Canis lupus familiaris: one gene and its partners. The protein of the gene in region 1 interacts with the protein of each later gene in a pairwise test. Links are inferred from orthologs where the notes say so. Each region holds a gene or a part of one and is shown in the gene's direction. Other genes may lie near its edges. The genes, in order: FEZ1, PDCD7 and PAM16.

Region 1 (3,648 bases):
CATTAACGAAAGAGTGTATGGAAGCCTTTGGTCAGATCTATTTTTATTATTGTTCAATATGTATTAAATAACAATATTGCTTTAGGAATTTTACAGGCAGCAATGTAGAAACACCCTTAACTGATCAAAATTCGAGCTGGAATGTTCCTCCAGCAGAGAACAGAGTTAGCATTCTCTTGCGTACCTTCTTCAGGTGATTGAGGAGATTGAAGAAATGATGCAGAACTCCCCAGACCCTGAGGAAGAAGAGGAGGTTCTAGAAGAGGAGGATGAGGGAGAAACCTCCTCCCAGGCAGACTCGGTCCTCCTGCAGGAGATGCAGGCCTTGACCCAGACCTTCAACAACAACTGGTCCTACGAAGGTGAGGGGCCTGGCAGGTGGGTGTGCCAACGATGAACACTGCTGCCTGCAGGCCAGGCCGTGGGCACAGGCTTCCCATGTAGCTAATAGGACCTCAAATCCAGGGAGTTGGCAATGCCTTTCCAACTGGGTGTCAGGACAGAAGTTAGCAATTTTGGGGGGTGGGATGGGGGAAAGGCAATCGAGCAAAATCAAAATGGTAAAACTAACCAAAGAACAAGACTAAAGCAGATTAAGTAGAAGAAATCGGAAACCCGCTGTCCAAAATGATACTACCATAAAATCAACAAAAAAGGTAATAATCACGAGAGCTGATATTTTTGGAATGCCTGCTACGTGCCAGACCCTGTTCAAAGAATTTCTGTGCATAATCTCATTTCATCCCCACACCAACTCCATTAGGATTGGGGTAATTGAGTATGCTGAGAGGCTAAGTGACTTGTTCGATGCCACTATTAGGGGAAATATAATTAAAAACAAAATCTAGGGCAGCCTGAGTGGCTTAGCAGTTTAGCACTGCCTTCAGCCCAGGGCATGATCCCAGGGACCCGGGATAGAGTCCTGGGTTGGGCTTCCTGCATGGAGCCTACTTCTCCCTCTGCCTGTGTCTCTCTCTCTCTCTCTCTCTCTCTCTGTGTCTTTCATGAATAAATAAATAAAATCTTAAAAAAATAAAACAAACAAACAAAAAACAAAATCTCCTCCCCACCCAGAAAACCTCTCCACAGAAGGAGAAGAGAAAGAGAACAATTTTACTATTGAATAAGCATTAAGCCAGAACCGAGCGCCCATCACAGGCAAGTCGCTAAAGGGATTGCAAAGCCAGAAAGAAATCCTACTCTCGTCTGCAGCTAAGTGGATACAACCCATTTCATTAAATCGGTTTAGCAATCTGGAGAAGGGGGACTAGTTAGGGGCCTGTCATCTTCCTCGATGATTACTTTTCCAAGCTGTGACTCCCGGGTGCTTGAGGAAACATTCCTGAGTCCCGAGGCTGACAAGAGGCTTATTTTGCCATTAAAATGATTGGCGTCCATCTGCAAAGGACAGAGGAGGGTGTTCACAAAGAACAGGCAGGTGAAGGGGAGAGAAACTTGCTGTCCTTATTTTCAGCAGGGAGAGCCAAGCCTCCTATTTTTTTTTGTATCTGCCCTGACACCACATCCAGGTGGTGAGGGGTGGAGCCCACATGTGAAGCGGGGCAGGTTCACTCCAGAATCCCACACTCCTGATCTGTGTCGTGTTAGCTCTCTGACACAGGTTCATGGTAATTATGATCACGCAAAGAAAGAGGTGGATGAGGCGTGAAATGAAAAGATGTGACACGGTAAAGGCAAAATTGAGTACAAAAGCCATCAGTCTGGAGGGATAATGGTGCCCATGCTGCAGGAGGGGCCCGCGCTCGCCGCCAAGGGAAGGAGGGCTGGGTAGGTGTCAAGGTCCAGATAGAGTGGTGGTAAAAATCGAGGCCTGATCTGAGGAAATGTGTCCTGAAAATGAGACCCTGTGGCCCTAAGGGAGTAGAGGCTGGGCGAGGGCAAAAGCAGAAGGAATGTGCTCGGAATGATGGGGCAGATTTGGCTGCGGAGCTGCATTCAGGCCGTTCTCAGCCACACAAAGGCCCCAAACATAGCTGCGCTCGGCGGAAGACTCCGGAAAACAGCTGAAGTGTACAGTGAAATGGCAAACGCAGAAGGAGGAGGACAGCTCCAAAGAGCAGAATAAAGGAGGAGGTCGAACCGAGTCAGCACATCCACAGGCCACAGCAGAAACAGAACAGAAAAGCAAAACGGATTCTGGGGCAAAAACAAAAGATGTTAGGGACCAATTTGAAAAGATGTTCCACCCAAACCCCCATTCCAGTCAATTTTTTTTTTTTTTTTTTTGTAAGTAGGCTCTCTGCCCAGCCTGGGGCTTGAACTCCGAATCTTGGGACCGAGAGTTGCATGCTCTACAAACAGAGCCAACAGGACACACTCCCCCCACCCTGATCTATTTTCAGTGAAGAAATCTTAAGGGACAAAAACTTAAGATACAGTCCTCTGTATTGCAGCATCTCAGGTTCCCTTTCCTTTTCTCTAATGGCAGACTCTGTACCAACTAGCCATGGTGCATTTTTTTTTAAGATTTTATTTATTTATTCATGAGAGATACAGAGACATAGGCAGAGGGTGGAGCAGGCTCCCTGCAGGGAACCCGATATGGGACTCAGTCCCAGGATCACAACCTGAGCCAAAGCAGACGCTCAACCACTGAGCCATCCAGGGGTTCCTCCAGGGTGCATTTATTTATTTATTTATTGCATTTTTTAAAAAAAGATTTTTATTTATTTATTCATGAGAGAGAAAGAGAGAGAGAGAGAGGCAGAGACACAAGCAGAGACATAGGAAAAGATGTGACACAGTGAGGGCAAAATTGAGTACAAAAGCCATCAGTCTGGAGGGATAATGGTGCAGGATGAAGCAGGCTCCATGCAGGGAGCCCGACGAGGTACTTGATCCCCGTTCTCCAGGATCAGGCCCTGGGCTGAAGGTGGCGCTCAACCACTGACCCACCGGGGCTGCCCTGGGGTGCATTTTTTAATATTTGTTTTTTTTTTTTTTTTTTTTTTTTTTTTTTTTTTTTTTTGCATTTTTTAATATTTGTAGCCAGCCGGCCACATGTTTCCTATATTCCCTAATATCTGCACCCGCCACCCAGGGCCACAGGGGTGCAGAGGGCCTTGGATCCCTGTGCTTGTTTTGCTGGCCGGGTGTATCTTGCTCTGTTCTTGGGACACACACCACCTTTCTACTGCTCTCAGCACACATGCCAGAAACCTCCTCTTAATGTTTTCTCCCCCTGATCCTTCACCTGCTTCGCACTAGGGATCTCATAGGAACAGGGGAAAAATAGGAGGAGGACTCCGGGATCACAAAGCCACACGTCTGTCTATGCACAGTTTTGTGAACAGGGTCCACGGGCCCCCCTGGGGGCTGTTTCCTTTTCCCTCTTTGTTTCCCCAAGAGCAGTGTTCACTTTGCTGCTGGCACACGGGCCCCTTCCTTCCCGGCACGGCCCTGAATTCCCGCCCCGTAAGGAGCTGGGGTGCAGGGAGCCCTGGGCAGCGCCCGGGAGCCGCTGGGTGGGCGTGGGCCGTGGCTGGGACGCAGCCGTCACCCGCGGGCCGTCTGCCCCCGCAGGCCTGAGGCACCTGTCGGGGTCGGAGCTGACCGAGCTGCTGGACCAGGTGGAGGGCGCCATCCGGGACTTCTCGGAGGAGCTGGTGCAGCAGCTGGCCCGCCGGG
Region 2 (3,648 bases), on another chromosome or scaffold:
GTCCATTGCAGGTTGGTGTAAGGGAAGGCTTTGTGGATGATATAATGACATCTGAACTGTCTTGAAGGACATGTCAAAGCCAAGTGAAAGCAACAGGTGCAGTTCTGGGCAGAAGAAGGAAGGAGTATGGTGTGGTCTTAATGGTGGGATTATAGGCACTTATTGGATAGATGGAAAGAGAGCTTTAGGTAAAAGGATCTTCCTTACCACCCACAGTAAGGGGATTGGAGACCAGATCCTGTGAGTGGTGGTTTAAGGAACCAGAGTCATTTTGTCTACATGTGAACCAACTTAAGAAGAACATTCAGGATAGGATCTTAGTGTTTGAAAGGCTGTCATGGCAAAAGATCTAGGCACCTAACAACACTGGAGTCCGAGCTATGTGCGTTGGGTGTCACTGACAAATTTCGTAGAGTTCTGGGCCCTTCCAACCCCATTTCTTGTATTCTCTCCTCGTCTCAATCTTTGGGTCTAGGAGTCTACATTTTTAATAAGAGAGCCCCAACTTAAAGTTAGATGCAGATGTTCATTGGACTATGCTTGAAGAAACTCCAAGGAAGGAACAAAGGTCAGCATCCATGTGGAAACTTCAGAGAAGATACTCCCTGGCTGGACCAGTGTGGGAGAGGAGTTGTGTACAGCCCAGGAACTTGGAATGGAGATCCAGTAGAAACTCAACCCCAGGACAGTCTGATCTTCTGAAATCTCACTGCTGGGCAGCTGTTCTCTGCTTTAAGACTGTTCCTAGGGCAGCCCGGGTGGCTCAGCAGTTTAGCGCCGCCTTCAGCCCAGGACATGATCCTAGAGACCCGGGATAGAGTCCCACGTCAGGCTCCCTGCATGGAGCCTGCTTCTCCCTCTGCTAGTGTCTCTGCCTCTCTCTCTCTCTCTCTCTCTCTCTCTCTCTCGAATCAATAAAATCTTAAAAAAAAAAAAAAAAAAAAAAAAAGTATTCCTAATACTAGGTCTGTCTCATGGACCCGGTCTTTTCCAGGAACAGGAACTGAAAGCTGCAGCTGATGGTGTCTTATCTGAAGTGAGGAAAAAGCAGGCAGATACCAAAAGAATGGTGGACATTCTTCGGGCCTTGGAGAAATTGAGGAAACTCAGGAAAGAGGCAGCAGCAAGGAAAGGTAACCATGGCTTTGCATTTCTACTTGTATTTATTCCTCTATTGCCTTGTTCCTTCCCTTGCTTTACCCTAGTGTCCACCCTCCCTCAAAATTTTTGAAGAAAAAAAAGTTTGATTATATTTAATTTTTACCCAGTAGAATAACAGCTTGTCAGCACCACCTCAGAACTTTTGAAGCAGAAGCCTGACTTTGTTTACTCCTTTTTGACAAGGTTGAAAAGAGAGGCAGGTGTGGGAACCCACTATACTGCCTTTCCCTTGACTCATCATTCCCACAGCAAGTGTTCTGGCCACGCTTTTGTGAGTGAGTTTGGCGTGGCTCGTCACTTTTGCCCATGTACAAAGGCAAAGGCTATCCTTTCTTTACTAGGTGCTTCAGAAGATGTTGAAAACTTGGCATGCCCTTCTGATATGTTTCAAACCTGAAACATTGATATTTAAAAAGGTGTGAGTGGTTGGACAGGGCAGGGAGTGCCTTGCAAACTGCATGGGTGTCCACTTCTGTACTTTGGGATCAGAAAACCTGAGTCCTCTCCTCTTGCCTCTAGGGGGAGCACTAGTTTTGGAGAAGCTCCCTAGTTGTGCTTTCAACATTTGCCTGTCTTGATCTTTGCTCTTGCAAGTCTTTTTGTGTGGAGGGCCCTCAGTTCCATCTTTTCCGTTTTAAGCTCTCACTATCCTTCAAAACTAAATACAGATGCAACATCCTCCATCCTACATCCTTCCCTGATCTGGATTGAGGTGACCTCCTTCTTACTTGCACCGGTTTGGACTACAAGCTGCCTTATTTAGTAGACTATAGGTCATTGATACCAACCAGGGATATTTGAGACTACACAAATTAGCAAGTACTGTGATAGCAAATGACTTCCCCTGTGTGGTTTAAAATATAAATGAAACCTGTGAATCAGACCCTTAATAAAGTTCCATTGGGATATGACCATTGTGTATTCAACCCAGCTCACTCACTAGCTAAGTGATTAGCTTCTGCATGCCAGGCTTCAGAATAGCTAGTTCAAATTGAGGCTTCAGAAGAATATGACCCCATAGTGCATTCATGAGTCAAAGGGGAGTTTGCATCTACTAGGTCTACCCTTATCTCTTCCTTGGGGAATGAAAACCTGAGGGCTGTTATTTAATATTCTTCTACTCCATGTCCTCTGTGAGGAGAGTATTTAGTAAACTTTTGCCAAGTGAATTTCGTAGCATAATTTCTCACTATTTGTCTTCTTTATTTTGGTCCAAAAGGAGGAGGAAATTTCGGAGGAATTGTGATCTATAAAAATAAGCAGCCTCTTTGGAGTTAATGGTCTTGAATATAAAATGATTTGGTAACTAGCAGCTAGTTGCATCATATATTTAAAACTTTTCTCTCAAGGTGTGTACACCTTCAGCTAAGGGCTGAGAGAATGAGGCCAGATATGTAAGCAGGGCCACATTGCAGTACCTTAGGGGCCAGACTAGACTTCTTACCTATGCTTAAAAATGAGCAGAACCATTGAAAGATTTTAAGCAAAAAGTGAAATGGCAGCAGTAATCAGTGCTGGTCCAGGAGAGAAAGGAGGGAGCTCTAGGAGGGAGGGAGAAAAGGAGAGACACTGAGAAGGCTATTCAGTAGTCTGGGCACGGATAATATAGGAGTGTGAACTAAGGGTCAGGTGGTGACTTGGAGAAAAGTAAATGAACTTAAGAAATACAAATAAAGGAGAGGGGGAATGTGTAAGTAAATAACTTGGGGAACAGACTTGGGGTTGACGAGTTCAGTTTGGGTTGTGTTGAGTTTGAGGTGCCTGTGGTACGTCTTGGATAAGAGGTCATCGGCATGTAGCCATAAATAGACATGACTTTAAGGAGGTTGTATAGTGTGAGTTGAGGGCCAAAATGACAAAATCCTAGGGAATGTCAAAATCCAGATGCATAAAGGGGTGGCCACAAGAGAGGTCAGAGAGATAGAAGGAGAAAGTAGGTCCCCTACCTCCTTCTGGAAAGTCCCAAATGCTCAGAGAGATTGTGTAATCTTGCTTGGGGAGGTTACCTAAATGTCTCTTTGCCTTAGTTTCCTCATCTGTAAGACAGGAATAATGATAGTACCTAAAAATTGAGAAATATCTGTGGGAATTAGTACCCAATAGATCATCAGTGAGCTATGCTAGGTGCAATTCACAGCAGAATGGTATGAGTAGAAGCCAGACTAGACTACAATAAAGAGGGAATAGGAGATAAGAAAACCAAACAGTGAGTTCAATTTATGAGAAGTTTGCCTGTGAAGACAGGAGAGAACTGATCAGTATCTGGCAATGCGGAAGGGCAAAGTGGTAATCTTAGGGTCATGGGAAAAATTTAAACATGTTTCATTGCTAAGCAAAGGAATGAGTATAGGGAGAGTATCATAGAGAAGCAGGAAGGATAGTTGATGGCTCAAGGTCCTGCAGGAGGTAGAGAGACTGATTGTAGGTGGAGGGATTAACTTAAGTGTAGAAGGATCCATCTTCCACTGGAATGAAAATGAAGGAGAC
Region 3 (3,748 bases), on another chromosome or scaffold:
GCCGGCCACCCATCCAAGAGTGGAGAAAAGAGGAAAGTCCTGCCCACCAGGGATCCACCTTCTGGGGGAAAGAACAGATTATAAGCAGCGCACATAAAATAAATGAATTCTATAATATGGCAGAAGGCGATGAGTAAGAACTTTGGGGGTAAAAATAGAGGGGACTGAGAGCCAGACACAGAAGCCACAGACAGGATGATTCCACTTCCAAGAGCTGTTCACAGGGGACAAACCATAGACGGGCCCAAGCTTAGTGGTCAGGGCCTGGGGGGGCGGTGGCCAGTGCTGATGCGAAGGGAGTTTGGGGGGTGGTGATGAAAATGTTCTGGTGTTCTGGTGGTGATGGTTGCACAACTCTGTGGATACACTAAGAAGCGCTGACTGAATTATGCACTTTAGTGAACCGGATGGTGTGTGAACTTTATCCCAAAGGGTTACTAAAGCACAAAAGAATGCGGGGCAAGTTGCAGCATTGGTAGCAGGTTGGGGTAGGCCTCCTTGGGAAGGTGACATCGAGCAAGCACTTGAAGGGGGAGAGAGAGAGATCTCTTTCCCAGATAGAAGGAAACTAGAAGGAAGCCCGTTTTGAGGTTTCCTGTTTTCTTTTTTTTTAATTTTTATTTATTTATGATAGTCACACAGAGAGAGAGAGAGAGAGGCAGAGACACAGGCAGAGGGAGAAGCAGGCTCCATGCACCGGGAGCCCGACGTGGGATTCGATCCCGGGTCTCCAGGATCGCGCCCTGGGCCAAAGGCAGGTGCCAAACCGCTGCGCCACCCAGGGATCCCAGGTTTCCTGTTTTCTTACATATTTGTGAGCCTTTGGCATCCTCCTCTTCGTGGGGTGTTGTATGTTTACTTCATGTCCTTTAGTACCAAATATCTTGGCAAAATCCAGGGAAGAGGTTGCTTGCCCCTCATTTGACAGATGTGTCTATCCTGGGGCACGTCGCGCAGCAGGGCGAACGCGAGGGCCACCGCGGGTCCTAGGACCGCCCATCACCTGAGCGCGGCTCCGCCTACCGCCGTGACGTCACGGGTCCCGTCCCGCCCCCCGGAGGGAGCAACGCGCATGCCCAGCGCGGCGTCACGCACGCGCTCTCTCTCCCTTGACCTCTGACCTGCCGGCCGCCTTTGAGCTGGGGCCGCGGGGCCAGGAAGCCGGAGCCCGCAACCCTGAGGCGGAGCGGCCAGCATGGTGAGGCACGAGCGGGCGCTGCCGGGCGGTGAGGGAGGCCGGGCTGGGGCCGGGGCCGGGGCCGGGGCCGGGGAGCGTCGCACCGGGAGGACCGCGGCGGGGGCCGGCGGCCCGGGGCCACGGAGGCCTCTCGCCCAGAAGGCGGCGCGGGCCTGGCTGGCCGGAAAATGCCCAGCACAGGCGGCCGCCGCGTGCCCCCTGCCGCGCCGGAGGTCGGGTCCAGCCCGGGAGCCCTGCGCGGCCGCGCGGCCCGTTGGCGGTGTCGCCCTTTGGAAACGGACGAAACGGGCGCCGAGACTTTGCCAAGGAAGTGGCTGGCCTGGGACTCGAGCGGGCCCCGCGACCCCGAAAGCTGAGCGTCTCCGCGTTTCCTGTGGCACCCGCAGCCAGTCCGCAGACCCGGGCCACGCTGGCGGAGACGAGTCCCCTGGGGACCCTTTAAACACGCAGCATCCTGAGCTCTGTCCTCGGAGGCAGCCGGTTTGGGGAGCCCCTTATTAACCAATAAGAAGGATAACACAAGAGCTTGCAAGGCCCCCAGGCCCTTGCACTGGAAGCCTCACGTGGATTCTCTCATTTAATGCTTGTGAAATGCATAGGGCCATGGTCCCCATTTCACAGAGTAGGAGCCTGAATCTCAGAGTTGGATTCCTCCAGGGTCGTTTCATCCAGCCGTGCCAGAGGCAGGTGTTGAGCCGGGTCATGCCCAACCCTTGGACCGCGGCCTGCTCACGCATTCCTGCCTGTAACTCTGAGCCCCCCTCAAGAGCCACGTAAAATGTTGCTCTGGACCAGTCTGTATCCTAAAGGAGGAATCAGGCAAGTCTGTAAAATAGGACAGAACAGATAGTGCTCTGGGAAGGTTTGGCTTAGAGGGAATATGGGAGTATTGTGTTGTCTTTTTTTTTTTTTTTAAGATTTTATTTATTCATGAGCGACGCAAAGAGAGGCAGACACACAGGCAGCGGGAGAAGCAGGCTCCATGCAGGGAGCCCAATGTGGAACTCGATCTCAGGACCCTGGGGTCACGCCCTGGGCCAAAGGCAGCCACCCAGGCATCCCTCCTGTTAAGTCTTGAAGGATGTTGGGTTTTGATGGAGTATCAGAGTAGTAGGGACGATGTAGTCAAGGTTAATGGGTATTGGGGGTTTTTTTTGGGGGGGTGATGAAAATGTTCCAGGACTAGTAATATTCTGTACTTTTTAGTGTGTTTACAGAGGTATGTGAATACCCTAAAATCACTGAATACTTGAGTGACTTGTATGGTGTGTGTGTGTTGGGAGACATGGGGGTAAAAGAAGTAAGAGCTGATCTAGAAGTAGATGGTGTGGCTGCAGGGCCGAGAGGTGAGGGGAGAGAAAACCAGAGCCGTTGTAGCTGTCCAAGGTGAGATTGCCCAGCTGAGAAGTGGGCTGAATTTGCAGGCCCTGGCCGCGGAGTTGTGTGTATTGGAGGATGGCCTGAGTCCTCCAGCAGAGGGAGCGGTAGGCATTTGGAAACCCTGTCTGGGGACATAGTTTTGCTGATGATGGCCTGGTTAAGTGTCACATTCATTCAAATACGATCGATTGGGCTGCCATGCCAGCCATAGGCGGGGGCGCCAGGTTTACTGTGGTCCTGACTGCCCTCCCGCCTAGTCGTGATGCCAGCAGCTGTTTGCAGGGGCTTTGGGGTGAACATCCTCAAGAAGGGGGTGAGTCTCAGTGGCAGTGTCTGCCCAGCAGCCCAGGGGCTGAGAACTAAGCTTTGAAGGGAACATTGCACATCTGAGCTGTCTGAAAACCAGGTTCCCTTCGTAATGCACCTCACCTGAGATGCGCCACATTCCTCCGTGTCCCCCAACGCTTGCCTGTGGTCTTCTGTCCCAGCTGCAGAGGTGTGGTTCTGCATTGGGCTATGTCGTTCCTCAGATGAGAAAGCAGATGTGTCATCCACAGTGGCTCCCAGGCTCGGCGACCTGTGTCTCTGACCTCTGCTCCTCGACTGGCAGCTTGCCCTGAGTTGGATGCCATGTCAGCTGACTGTTCTTGTCCAGGGTCTTCAGGCCCAAGTGTCAGTCAGTGGACTATGGGATGTTTGGGGACTTTCTAGGAGAGACCTCAGCCAGTGGCTGCCATCATCTCCTCTTGTAACTGGCAGAACAATGATCTGGCTGACCCACAGCTGGCACTGGGTACTGAATAGATGGATGAGAAGCTTGGCCATACTGCCTGATGTCTGGACCGTCCAGCACCAAGCAGGGTCTAGTCCAGAAGCAAAGGCAGCTGTTGGGCTGCTTTGAACCTGCCACTGACTGGTTGGGTTTATGTGGATTGCCTTCTGAGGACCTTGCAGCCTTCCTGTAAGGAAGGTATGATTCTCTCCGTTTTGCAGATAAGAAAACAGGTTCAGAGAGGTTGAGTAATTTATGCAGGGCCACACAGCTAGCGAAGACAAGCTGGGAGTCCAGGTTTAAGCTCCAAAGCAGTCCTCTCCCTCCTCTTCCACACTGCTTCTCAGTGCTCTTGGCACGGAGCCTGGCTTTTTGCAGCCTTCTCCCCTGAGGAATCA

What was found.
Region 2: the proteins of FEZ1 (region 1) and PDCD7 interact in a two-hybrid assay, tested with the Homo sapiens proteins (2 studies listed by BioGRID and IntAct). The link is inferred for Canis lupus familiaris from reciprocal best matches to the Homo sapiens genes FEZ1 and PDCD7.
Region 3: the proteins of FEZ1 (region 1) and PAM16 interact in a two-hybrid assay, tested with the Homo sapiens proteins (2 studies listed by BioGRID and IntAct). The link is inferred for Canis lupus familiaris from reciprocal best matches to the Homo sapiens genes FEZ1 and PAM16.

Annotation. Positions count from the first base shown.
Region 1 is NC_049226.1:9,050,477-9,054,124, forward strand, and holds part of FEZ1 (fasciculation and elongation protein zeta-1), read left to right. Parts: intron 1-193; coding exon 194-362; intron 363-3,543; coding exon 3,544-3,648. UniProt on the Homo sapiens protein: May be involved in axonal outgrowth as component of the network of molecules that regulate cellular morphology and axon guidance machinery.
Region 2 is NC_049251.1:29,928,860-29,932,507, reverse strand, and holds part of PDCD7 (programmed cell death protein 7), read left to right. Parts: intron 1-994; coding exon 995-1,133; intron 1,134-3,648. UniProt on the Homo sapiens protein: Promotes apoptosis when overexpressed.
Region 3 is NC_049227.1:37,332,465-37,336,212, forward strand, and holds the start of PAM16 (mitochondrial import inner membrane translocase subunit TIM16), read left to right. Parts: upstream 1-1,041; 5' UTR 1,042-1,195; coding exon 1,196-1,198; intron 1,199-1,590; exon of another isoform or gene 1,591-2,017; intron 2,018-3,748. UniProt on the Homo sapiens protein: Regulates ATP-dependent protein translocation into the mitochondrial matrix. Inhibits DNAJC19 stimulation of HSPA9/Mortalin ATPase activity.